Saccharomyces cerevisiae S288C: one gene and its partner. Changing the gene in region 1 together with any one later gene gives a genetic interaction. Each region holds a gene or a part of one and is shown on either strand. Other genes may lie near its edges.

Region 1 (8,513 bases):
TCATGTGTGTTAGATTGGGACATGGGAGCAAGTAAAGGAACATTTAATTTATGCATACCACCCGAACCGGTACTCTCGATATTGGAAATTTGGGGGGTGCTAGATCTCTTCTTTGATGGAAGAATATTAGATTCAGATATGTTGGGGTCAACTTCTCTGGGTGCGCGAATATTGGTTTTAGAAACACGTTTCGAATCTTCAGTATGAGTTGACGGAGGTGTGGAATCGGTTGGACTCACAGCTTTTGAAAGGACATTTCTCGGTTGCTCAGGATGTAGTTCGATGTCAGATTGGAAGTCATGGTCAGATTCTATGTTAAGATCATCGGATTGTTGGATCTCATTTGACGCAATGAACGATTGATATGAAGCAGTTAAACGGTTTAAGTCTTCATCGAAAGTGAGTGCGTCGTAATTGAATTGATCTAATCTGGATTCCTTGCCCTGAAGAATAACATAGTTAGTTGTATCTACTGTCTTCTTTAAGGATGGAAGATAGATGATATATCCATAAGAGTTTCGAGACGGATGTAGAGCGTAGCCTGGGATGCCACGAGGATGTATTTTGGAGTTAGGGTTGTGATCATTGACGATAACAGGTTGACCGAAAGGTAACAAAGTACTGATATCAAGTCCTGCCAAGCCAGCATGTTGTCTTGCAGATTTTTTGCTTTTAGGTGAAGCTAGTGAATTTCTCACAATAGTAGAAAATTCGATTGCAGAGAACCATAAATGGTTCGGTAAACCACTACATTGCAGTTGAGTACGGCAGTCATCTAATAAGGTACGGTTGAGCCGTTCAGCGACTCCATGTGCTCGGGAATCCGCTGTGGTTGTATAGCATGGAGTTATACCATTTTTTTCAAGGAATTTATGGAGAGTTCTGTTAGTATACTCAGAACCACGGTCCATTTGTATAACCAAGACACTGGCCTGAAACTGGTTCTTAATAAAAGCTAGTATCGTAGTAAAAACATCGAGGATAGAGTCCTCGCGACGGTCGTGTAATGGATAAACCCAACGGAATTTTGTTGTCTCATCAGTAAATGAGATGAAATAGGATGGTGCACTTTTTGGTAGGTTGTGAACTGGACCAAATATGTCAGTATGTAGGTATTGAAAGGGTTCGTATGAATTTTGGTATTTTAGTCGTGAACCTTTGATATGTCTGTGTTTGGTGCTTTTGCCGATTAAACAATCAGGACATTGATAGTCAATAGCACTAGACCAGTCGACATCTGATTCGTTAAAATACGTGATGGTGTTATTTTTAAGTGAGTATCGAATTGTCTGTGCATTGGCATGTGCAAGCATTCGATGAATGAAAGGATAAGGATATTTGCGTGTACTTTCACTTGTATGGACATTATTGATGGTGGGTACGGAGATATTTGATGGAAGCAAGTACTTTTTAGATACCCAGTAAAAGTCTCCATATTTTACGATAGGTGCAAGTACAGTGCCGTCAGATCGTTCTAAGACGTTTTTGGTAAAGCATGCTGTGATATCTACTGCAGCCAATTCATTCAAACTGAGTAAGTCATAGGCTATGTTAGGAGTGTGCAATACCTTTATTGATGTTTTGGTGTTGTCCTGGAAGTGAAATTGTAGGTCACCAATAGCGTTAATTGGTATATTTCTTTTTTGAGCATCAACTACGTTTATGTCAGGATTAGATGATGCTGAGTGTATGTGATGAGCAGATCTTATAAGGGTTCGTGATGCTCCTGAATCGAGAAGGAGGTGTCCAGGGAGTTCATCATCAGAATGATTAGTGTGATTTACCGTAGATTCAGTAAGTTCCTGGCCTAAGGTGAAGGTCGTGCTTATTGTTCAATTGAATCGGTTCAGTAGTTGATTTACTGATGGAATCGTTGTCCGTGCTGGGAGAGTTATTAGATGTGGATACATTGTGAGCCCTGGCTGTTTTCGATTTCGAATTATTTGTTTTTTGAGGATTCCGAGCTATAACTTTGGGTTTGGTTGTATTCGTATAGCTGCGAGAATCATTCTTCTCATCACTCAGATTTCTCCTGTAATTAGGTTTGCTGTTTCTCGATCCCTGTTGTTCTTCATAAATAGCATGGATATCTAAGAACAGTTCAGCGACTGTCATATTTAGATGTCGATGACGTGTGTAGCGTAAAAATTTATATTCGCCAGATAGACCTCTCATAATTAATTGGCATGCGACCTTGTTATTGATATGAATGCCATTATTGTTCAGTCTGTCGATAATGTTTGTGACTTTTGTTTCAAATGCATCTGCAGGTGTACTGCCATTATATTGCAAATTTGCCAGGGTCACAATGTCGTTTGCCTCTTGGGTATCAGATTGCATTTTTTCAATACTTTTGGAAAGAATTTTCATGATATCCGTATAATCAACGGATAGGATGTCTTTGACCCAGGTAGGTAGGAATTGAGAGGGAGCAAATATTTGAAAAGTGTTATACAAGAAGGTGAGTTCATCATCAGTGATCTGACGTACGGGTTTTCCGTTTACTGTCGGAATAATACCACCGAGATTCGAGTTTTGTAAAAATTTGATGTATGTTTTAACCCAATTTGGAAAGTCATTAGGTGAGGTTAACATTGGTGGTGGTCTGACATATTTTTTAGTGGATGTCATATCAGAGTCCGCTGAGGATGAATCAGTAAATGTATTACCTGACTCAGGTGATGGAGTGCTCAGAGGCGTTCCAACTGATGATGGATACTGCGGAAACTGTGATTGTGGCCCAGGTGGAAAGTACATAGGCGACATTTGATAAGGTGTATACGGAATCATAGATGGGTGTCCGTAAAATGACCAACCAGATGGATTGGCTTGGTTTTGGGTCATCATGCACTGCTGTGGGTACGGCCCATTCTGTGGAGGTGGTACTGAAGCAGGTTGAGGAGAGGCATGATGGGGGTTCTCTGGAACAGCTGATGAAGCAGGTGTTGTTGTCTGTTGAGAGTTAGCCTTAGTGGAAGCCTTCTCACATTCTTCTGTTTTGGAAGCTGAAACGTCTAACGGATCTTGATTTGTGTGGACTTCCTTAGAAGTAACCGAAGCACAGGCGCTACCATGAGAAATGGGTGAATGTTGAGATAATTGTTGGGATTCCATTGTTGATAAAGGCTATAATATTAGGTATACAGAATATACTAGAAGTTCTCCTCGAGGATATAGGAATCCTCAAAATGGAATCTATATTTCTACATACTAATATTACGATTATTCCTCATTCCGTTTTATATGTTTATATTCATTGATCCTATTACATTATCAATCCTTGCGTTTCAGCTTCCACTAATTTAGATGACTATTTCTCATCATTTGCGTCATCTTCTAACACCGTATATGATAATATACTAGTAATGTAAATACTAGTTAGTAGATGATAGTTGATTTCTATTCCAACACATCTACTAACTAGTATTTACGTTACTAGTATATTATCATATACGGTGTTAGAAGATGACGCAAATGATGAGAAATAGTCATCTAAATTAGTGGAAGCTGAAACGCAAGGATTGATAATGTAATAGGATCAATGAATATTAACATATAAAACGATGATAATAATATTTATAGAATTGTGTAGAATTGCAGATTCCCTTTTATGGATTCCTAAATCCTCGAGGAGAACTTCTAGTATATCTACATACCTAATATTATAACCTTAATCACAATGGAATCCCAACAATTACATCAAAATCCACATTCTCTACAAATGAAGAAACTGCTTATAGTCAATTGAACGATTTACCGGTATTTTAACGCCATTATATATATTAGTAAAAAGATGGCGTATATTGATGGACTAACAGGGTCAAATAAAATCATGAATTGACTAGTATATACTTATAAGTATATCGTTCTACACAAACTAGGAAGATGACATACATGATGAGAATTGGTTATCAAATTCCATGGATGCCGAAACGTAAAAGATTTACTAAATAGTAGGATAATTATTGATAACATACAAAACAAAAAAAAAAGAGACAATATTATTATCTAGAAGTGTCGACTTCCTTCTGTGGGTTTCCTATGTTCTCGAAGAGAGCTTCAAGTGTATTCTATAAACTAAGAATATTAGTTTAACGAAAGATCGAAGTCAGACACCTATCTAACTTTCATTAAATTATCACACAAAAATCCCACATACTCTCGTCTTGCTAAACAAATAATAAATTGAAGGTGAACGATTCTTCTTGCAGCGTCCTAGCTGTTGGGTCGTCTTAGATAAATATCTACTGTTCTGAATTGCCAAATTTTCCTTCTATTGTATCCATTCGATGCTGGACGGCCAGTTCTACCGTTATTGCCCAAAAGGAAGGAACGTCGCGATACTTCAACACATTAAATACTTGTTGATTTTCGAACCAAAACTCTGAAGCAACACTTTCGTATATGGATGGCCCTTCAGAGAAACCAATAGGTATGTAAAGAATTGCTACGTGGTGACTCAAAGTGAATTATAGCAAAGTTATAAAAGCGCTACATTGTAGAAAATTGAGAACCACATTTTGACATACACGAATAACAGTATTTTTGTCCTGGCGCTGTAAAGTATTTTAAGTTATGATGATGAATTAACTATTTTCAGCCAATGAAACGTCCATAATCTGTTCTGAATTTAGGTGCATTGATATAGCCGGTCAATCTTCCCTTGTGAAATCACCCAAAATGCTGGGATTATCATTCTCAACAATTTTGATTTGTGCCAACCACTTCGATAAATCATCTTCCAGCTCAGTATCATCTTTTTCTGTAGTCCCACTGTCAGGATTTAATCCTAACTTTTTGAGACCGGATATCAATGATTTAATGTCTTCTTCGGATGCCTTTTCTCTTAGCAACTCTTCAAACAAAGTCACTTTGAAATCTATATCGTGTTTGTCCTGTTCAGGATCTTCAAATAGGTGAACCCCTGTTCTTGCAAATAAAGCTTCATCAGATAGTTGCACTTGATAAAATTGGGAACATCTAAAATGGAACTTACTGCAATAGTGCGACAAATATGCATACGGATTGTTTTCTAATAAAAATTTCTTAGTAGTATCATTCATTGAAAATGGATCACGTATTCTTTCTGGCGATTTACCGCAAAGAGGATATCCGCATCTTTTGTTTAGATTCCTCTCATCTACTAGGTCTTGATACATATCCGGTGTGAGAAATCGGCCCAAATATTTCAATGTTTTCTCATCCTTGCATTCTGAATCACATAATAAGCCTATAATCTCTAAAGTTATAACTTCTGCTTCATGCATGGAAAGTTGCCTGTGCTTTTGGAAAGGGATTAACGCCGTTTCCTTAATATCTTCAATCGTCGCCATTTCTTATTCTTGTTAACTTCGTCCTAATTTTTCAAACTAAGATGCCGATGTATAGATATTTTAGACTGGGAATGTTTATGAATTGTTCAATTCGCTCCTCAATGTGTCTCTTTCTTCACTTTTCCATTGCTTTTGACCACTTCTGGATGCCAGCTGATTTTGTATTGTAGTATTCCTATTTCGGACAAAAATATCGGAAAGAGATGAAATAAGAAAATTAGTTACTTTTAATATCACGATGCTGTCTCTGAATCGACCTGATCGATCTATAAGGTGTATATATTATTCTACCGAGTAATCCAAAAAAAAAGCAGCACTCCCATGCAACACAAGGATACGGCAGTAGCGAAGGACACAGCTAAAAAACGTTTACTGAGAAGAAATAGTGCGCCGTCAGCTATACATATAATTTCACGATTAGACAAAAAGTGGTCCTTCCTATGGAATACTATAGATAGACACAATATTGTTGAAGAGCAAGATGAAAGTAGCGCTGCAAAAAGCGAAGAAGAACATGAGGATGATTATGAATTGGAACAATTACTCAACATGATAAGAATACCAATGTTCCTGGAAAAGTTCATGCTCTTTGCACTTTTAACAAGCTTGGACTGTTTTTTGTATTACTTTACTGTATTACCGATACGACTGATAAAGGGATATGTAAAGCAATTCAAGAGTTATCGTCAGCATTATCGCCTGCAACAACGGTCTGGGCATAAGAATAAAATACCCTTTCGATATAGAATAACTTCAAGAGAATATAAAGAGAGATGTATGATTTTTATCATCGTGATTTCATCCATTTTGTTGAGCAAACTAGACACCTCAAAACTATATCACAGGATAAAACGGCAAAGTACGATGAAATTGTACATGCTATTCAGTGTACTGGAAATGGCGGACAAAATGTTGGCAAGTTTGGGCCAGAGCTTATTAACGGTTATGCTTTCTAGGAAAAACTCGGAACGGATATTACTGCATAAATGTTTGTTAGTGTCAATGAGCTTGACATATGTGACTATACACGGCTATGTATTGGTTTACCAGGCCATTTCATTAAACATAGCCGTGAATTCGTATTCCAATGCCTTGCTAACTTTATTACTATCCATGCAATTTGCAGAAATCAAATCATCGGTTTTAAAGAAATTTGATAAGGAGGGATTTTTCCAAATAACCATTGCAGACGTAGTGGAAAGATTTAAGTTGACCTTATTATTGTCAATAACTGGCCTTAGGAACCTCCAGTCGTGGTCATCTTCATTATCGAACACAAGCATCAATTTCTGGAGTCCACGTTCCACATTATCAATCGTCATTAACATACTTTGTGGGCCGATGGTAAGCGTGGTAGGGAGTGAAGTGTTAGTGGATTGGGCAAAGCATGCTTACATCACAAAATTCAATCGGATCCGCCCACAGATATATGATAAGTTCTATTATATAATATACAAGGATTATTCTACGAGAACGCACAAATTAGAAGATAGATTGGGATTGCCTTTACCTGCATTCGTTGTCCTTTTTATTGTAATGGTGAGGCCAACACTTTTTAAATCATCGGAACCTTCTTACCTTCCTTCGCTATTTAGGATCCTCTTCATGGGGGCATCCGTGTTTTTACTAGCATTGTTGGCAAAATTTACACTAGATCTTATTTTAATCAAATGGAGCAAACGGATAGAGCAACGGTTCAGAGACCAAGCTTTCAATACCGTTGTAACTGAAGAAGAATACGTCCCAGGTTTACTCTCGGGCGGTATGGGTAAAGTCGACGTGTCTACAAGAATTGCATTACATTCTGATTACAATAAAGAGAATCGTATAGAGACCGAAAGTGTATCGCCAATGCGGAAAAGAAAAACTACTTTAACTGCTGAATGTACTCCTCCTAGCCTAAATGATATTAGAAGACAGAAAGATTCCAAGAATCCACGATCGCTTGAAAATGTCGCTCGCTATAAAATGGTTTCTAAAAGAATATGGTAATCTAAGATCCGCATTTATCGCGGCTTACGGCTTTCGGATATTTCGTATATTGCAAGGAGCAAAAAAGAAACCCTGCTTACTAAAAAGCTATTGTTTTGCAGTTTATAAGTTCTTGCCTTTTGAATTATTGATCTTTCCTTTATCGTTTATTTAGTTTCCTATTGTAACTTGGAACTGTATTATATAATAGTGCACAGCACTGAAGTTGTAACTACTGTACGTCATGCTTTTCAGAAACATAGAAGTGGGCAGGCAGGCAGCTAAGCTATTAACGAGAACCTCGAGTCGTTTGGCCTGGCAAAGTATTGGGGCCTCAAGGAATATTTCTACCATCAGACAACAAATCAGAAAGACTCAACTATATAATTTTAAGAAAACTGTGAGCATCCGTCCATTTTCTCTCTCCTCCCCTGTTTTTAAACCACATGTTGCTTCAGAATCAAACCCTATAGAATCACGTTTGAAGACCTCGAAGAATGTTGCTTACTGGTTAATAGGTACATCCGGTTTGGTATTTGGTATTGTTGTTCTTGGTGGGTTGACTAGACTAACAGAATCGGGGCTGAGTATTACCGAATGGAAACCTGTCACAGGTACTTTGCCCCCTATGAACCAGAAGGAATGGGAAGAAGAATTTATCAAGTATAAGGAATCACCAGAATTTAAATTGTTGAATTCTCACATTGATTTAGACGAGTTCAAGTTTATATTTTTTATGGAGTGGATTCATAGATTGTGGGGTCGTGCTATCGGCGCTGTTTTTATATTACCTGCAGTTTATTTCGCTGTATCTAAAAAAACTTCAGGCCATGTCAATAAGAGGTTGTTTGGTCTCGCAGGTTTATTAGGATTACAAGGATTTGTTGGTTGGTGGATGGTGAAGTCTGGTCTTGATCAAGAGCAACTAGACGCAAGAAAATCAAAGCCTACCGTTTCTCAATATAGACTTACTACGCATTTGGGTACCGCCTTCTTTTTATACATGGGTATGCTCTGGACTGGTTTGGAAATATTGAGAGAATGTAAATGGATTAAGAACCCTGTTCAAGCCATTAGTCTCTTCAAAAAATTAGATAATCCCGCAATTGGCCCAATGAGAAAGATTTCTTTAGCTTTGTTAGCGGTGTCTTTCCTTACCGCTATGAGTGGCGGTATGGTTGCCGGTTTGGATGCTGGTTGGGTCTATAA
Region 2 (5,180 bases), on another chromosome or scaffold:
CAGATAATATCGGTACGAAATGAAATTCAAGAGTTGAAAGCCGGTAAAGACTGGCATGACTTACAAAATGAACAAGCCAAACTGAACGACAAAGTGAAGCTAAATAAGAGGCTAAATGATTTGACTTCTACTTTGCTAGGCAAATACGAGGGAGATCGCAAAATTATGAGCCAAGATAGCGAGGACGATTCAATACGGGATGACTCAAATATTCTGGATATTGCACATTTCGTAGACTTGATGGATCCATATAACGGACTTCTGAAAAAGATAAATAAAATTAATGAAAATCTTTCTAACGAATTACAACCAAGTCTATAGGGAATTGGTTCAAAAGATGTATATATATATATATATATATATATATGTATGTATATATGTATATATGTATATATGTATTACTTCCATACTAAGGAAGTTGTGTTATAAGGTCATTTTTATGTGGTAGACATACTTCATAGATATGCACAAATCTCTCTTTTTTTTTCCTGTTGTCGCTATTAGCTTATCAAATTTGCATCATTTTCAAGTAACGCTGTGACCATTCTGTAGAAGTAGAAAAAGAATATGAGAAGGTAAAATCCCAATTTTAAAAAGCATTCAATTTTGCATCTACCCAATTTTCTGAAAATATCCGTGGCGTCCAGTAGATGTGTTTTCTTGTAGACTTTACTTGCGTTATATGCTAGAACAGGGACATTCAAGAGAAATACGAACCAGTACCCGTTAAAAAGAAACAATGCAGAAATGAAAGCTTGTAGAATTGCCTCTGGTACACTCAACCTATTCACCCTCTTACACAGTTCGATTGAGTTGATATAGTCTGCTTCAAGATCACCATATAATATAGTAAAGTATATCTGGCAAATGGAATTCAAACAATTCAGTATAAGACCCGTCACGAATAGCGATAATCCGGTTCCTGACATCTTTACTCTTGGCTTCGAACTTCTTGGTGCCTGCAGTTAGTTTTATCTTTAGTAAAAAATGATAATGAAAGTGCTTATATGAATAAAGGTATTAATGTCTTCGTATTTAGCAATGTAATTGAAAAATCATTCGTGGCCCACGACAATATTTCCAAATTATCACAGCTTTCGATAGAAGTGAACGATTTTGAATTAGAGAGAGTAGTAGTGAGCTAGACGTACTGTGTTTTGAGAATTGAAGTTTGTATAGCAAAACTATACTATCATAATGCAACATTCAAGAAAAATAATGGTATAGAAACAAAAAATAACTCCGATACGGGGAGTCGAACCCCGGTCTCCACGGTGAAAGCGTGATGTGATAGCCGTTACACTATATCGGATAATAACTTATGTTTGATTTAACCTTAAAGATTTTCTATGTCAAGTTTAAACTGGAGGGCTTTCTATTGCCGAACAATCCTAGCTAAAGGCTTTTTTCCCTATTTACAGAAGAAAATGTAATGACTGAAGATTTTGAAAGGTCTCGTTTGATGGCTAGCAGGCTACACCTAGAATTACCCAATTCCAAAGGTTGGTCATCATAGGAAAACAACCAGCATGAACCTTACCCTAGTTCTCTTGCTACTATTTCACATCATCAGGTGATGTCAACTCAGCTTATTGTCAGTGACGACGGATTAGCATTGATACCTGATGTCATTTTAACACGTGTGTTGGATGGGATCCTATACACACCCAAAGAAGATGATTTTTACAACGACACCACCACCATGTATTATGTTTTTGCCACCTGGGGTGATCAAAGTTGGTCATCCTTCGGTTATGATAATACAGCAAGCCTGCAAGAGCACGAAAGATATGTTTTCTAACTTCTTGCCGAGCAGGGAATATTGGGGATTTGGACCGTTGGAATAAATGGGTCCTCAATATTGACAGGAGTCGGTTTTGGAATGAGAATTAACTATCATTTAGTGATGGTAATCCTATTACTAGAATATTATCAGATACAATGTTAGAGGACAATAGGAATACATAAAATAGAAGAAATAATGATGGCATTACATCGAAATATCGATTACACTATATCTTGGAGGAGAACTTTTTATTTTATTTTGTATATCTGATGCTATAGCCTCTAACAATAAGTTAATCCCAACAACTATCTCAATATTCATATAATCGTCTGAGAGATTGATAACAGCTAGTAATGTAGCTAACAGTCAAAAGATAATAAATGATTCATCTTCCAACAGCTTGCGGGGAAAGTTTTTCACACTAATGTGCGGTGTTGTTTTCCTTAACAGGCTCTGAGCAAAATATGGAGAGAGAGGTCTCATTTACTTTGCCATTCTTCATTTAAGCTTGAGGCTTGTTCTACTGAAATGTTAAGTTCTCAGAAGCCAACTTTGGATCAAAGGGCTTTGTTAGTAGCAAAACGCTATTTCTATTGATTTTGATTATTTTTCGAAACATTAAGAGCACAATGTATATTAATTTTCCCTGATGAATAGTTAAGATGATTAGATGGGCTAGGCGCTTAAAAATGAGAAACAGGTGAAATTTGAGATAAATGTTGATTTCGTTGTTGCTAAAGGCTATAATATCAGGTATACAAAATATACTGGAAATATACCTCGAGAATCTTGGAATCCACGAAAGGGAATAGATATTACTCCATAATAATATTATGTTGGAACGAGAGTAATTAATAGTGACATGAGTTGCTATGGTAACAATTCAATGCTTACATCGTATATTAATGTACAACTCGTATACGTTTAAGTGTGATTGCGCCTATTGCAGAAGGAATGTTAAACGAGAAGCTCAGACAATACTGAAGCTGTGTTAAAGACCTATTAGTTGAACATGTTATGGTAGGTACATATATGAGGAATATGAGTCGTCACATCAATGTATAGTAACTACCGGAATCACTATTATATTGGTCATGATTAATATGACCAATCGGCGTGTGTTTTATATACCTCTCTTATTTAGTATAAGAAGATCAGTAATTATTTCTTCATTAATACTAATTTTTAACCTCTAATTATCAACATATTATTTCTCCTTTCGTTTTATCTGATGTCATTCATTGATTGCCAGCAACTATCCCAAACCTCATGTGATTCTCGGATTCCTTACCACGAAAAAACAGATGTGTAAGTGTATTTGAACACACAATAATAAAAATGATTATCATTCCCAGATGGAGGAGCCCATTCCAAACATAGCAAAATTCAGCACATCCTCTTCGTTAGCATTTCCGTATGGAAGCAACCCTCAGTCCAACAAATACCGTTTAAACAAATGAGCGACATTTATTCGCTTTTTCTAAAATAAAGGTCCCCGCTGAAACTTCTTTGCATACAGTTCAAATATTCCACCGTTCTCTTATATGTGGGGCTGGCACTACTTCGTATAATTGACTATACTATCTATATTAGTCTTCCCACATGTAATAGAAAGCTCGTATGGCGCAGTGGTAGCGCAGCAGATTGCAAATCTGTTGGTCCTTAGTTCGATCCTGAGTGCGAGCTTCTTTTTTTTTTTGCAATCCTTATTGAACTTTTTTTCTTGCTGCAGTCTCCTCAAAGGCAACATGTTCTTTGCTTTTTTTCCCCAACGACGTCGAACACATTAGTCCTATGGCTTGCTGCAGATAAGGCTACTATGTGTATTGGCAATACCCTTTTTAAAATTGGCAGATCTCTTATGGCGATCGCCGAACGCCAGGTTGTTAGCTAACTGCAACGGCACGCATCTTTGGCTGCATTTCGCCTCATCATTTACGCGCTTTTCCAGGCTTTTTCCCCTTATCAGATAAGATAAAAAAACGAACAATAAATAAGCTTCAGATAAGATAAGCAGGAAAGCGTTCCTAGCCCTACCGAGAAATGTGCGTTTATAGTTTGGTGCCTCTTTCTTGATTGACGCTCTATAATGAAACCAATATGCGTTCATTCCCCTATTTCATAGGGCACTCTGTTCGCAGTTAGCGCAAGCCATTGAGATAAGACACGCAGATGTTTTGCTTTTTCCTGCTTCTTAATTTGAATCGAGCTTTGTTAGACGTTGTTGGAAATTGAATGTTTGTATTTAAACACTAGAGCAGATGAGGTGTGAGATTTGTATACTCGCTCACTTCTGAATATCAGGCTCTCTTAGCTAAGCTTTTTTTTTCTAGGATCATATAGGCTCAAGTTTTTATAAGCTTATATTAATATATCAGTGGAGCAGCTGATATACACCAAATTTCAATTTACATTAATATAAAAGATAAAAAATAGAAATATCTTTTTTATAGTCACAATAAATTTCAGTTTTGATTAAAAAATGACAGTTAGTTCCGATACAACTGCTGAAATATCGTTAGGTTGGTCAATCCAAGACTGGATTGATTTCCACAAGTCATCAAGCTCCCAGGCTTCACTAAGGCTTCTTGAATCACTACTAGACTCTCAAAATGTTGCGCCAGTCGATAATGCGTGGATATCGCTAATTTCAAAGGAAAATTTACTGCACCAATTCCAAATTTTAAAGAGCAGAGAAAATAAAGAAACTCTACCTCTCTACGGTGTCCCTATTGCTGTTAAGGACAACATCGACGTTAGAGGTCTACCCACCACCGCTGCATGTCCATCCTTTGCATATGAGCCTTCCAAAGACTCTAAAGTAGTAGAACTACTAAGAAATGCAGGTGCGATAATCGTGGGTAAGACAAACTTGGACCAATTTGCCACAGGATTAGTCGGCACACGGTCTCCATATGGGAAAACACCTTGCGCTTTTAGCAAAGAGCATGTATCTGGTGGTTCCTCCGCTGGGTCAGCATCGGTGGTCGCCAGAGGTATCGTACCAATTGCATTGGGTACTGATACAGCAGGTTCTGGTAGAGTCCCAGCCGCCTTGAACAACCTGATTGGCCTAAAGCCAACAAAGGGCGTCTTTTCCTGTCAAGGTGTAGTTCCCGCTTGTAAATCTTTAGACTGCGTCTCCATCTTTGCATTAAACCTAAGTGATGCTGAACGCTGCTTCCGCATCATGTGCCAGCCAGATCCTGATAATGATGAATATTCTAGACCCTATGTTTCCAACCCTTTGAAAAAATTTTCAAGCAATGTAACGATTGCTATTCCTAAAAATATCCCATGGTATGGTGAAACCAAGAATCCTGTACTGTTTTCCAATGCTGTCGAAAATCTATCAAGAACGGGCGCTAACGTCATAGAAATTGATTTTGAGCCT

The links. Genes that interact genetically often act in the same process or in processes that back each other up.
Region 2: mutations in EMP65 (region 1) and ERV15 together harm fitness more than expected from each alone (negative genetic interaction), as found in Saccharomyces cerevisiae (2 studies listed by BioGRID).

The regions. Positions count from the first base shown.
Region 1 is NC_001137.3:445,911-454,423, forward strand, and holds EMP65 (Emp65p), read left to right. Parts: upstream 1-5,654; coding exon 5,655-7,325; downstream 7,326-8,513. Other genes in the region: YER137C-A (gag protein), read right to left, coding at 1,792-3,114; YER138W-A (uncharacterized protein), read left to right, coding at 3,564-3,668; RNA polymerase II subunit B1 CTD phosphatase RTR1, read right to left, coding at 4,653-5,333; COX15 (Cox15p), read left to right, coding at 7,549-8,513. UniProt on the Saccharomyces cerevisiae protein: May be involved in membrane protein folding.
Region 2 is NC_001134.8:641,299-646,478, reverse strand, and holds ERV15 (Erv15p), read right to left. Parts: upstream 930-5,180; coding exon 501-929; downstream 1-500. Other genes in the region: AME1 (Ame1p), read left to right, coding at 1-321; YBR209W (uncharacterized protein), read right to left, coding at 3,579-3,896; DUR12 (bifunctional urea carboxylase/allophanate hydrolase), read left to right, coding at 4,269-5,180.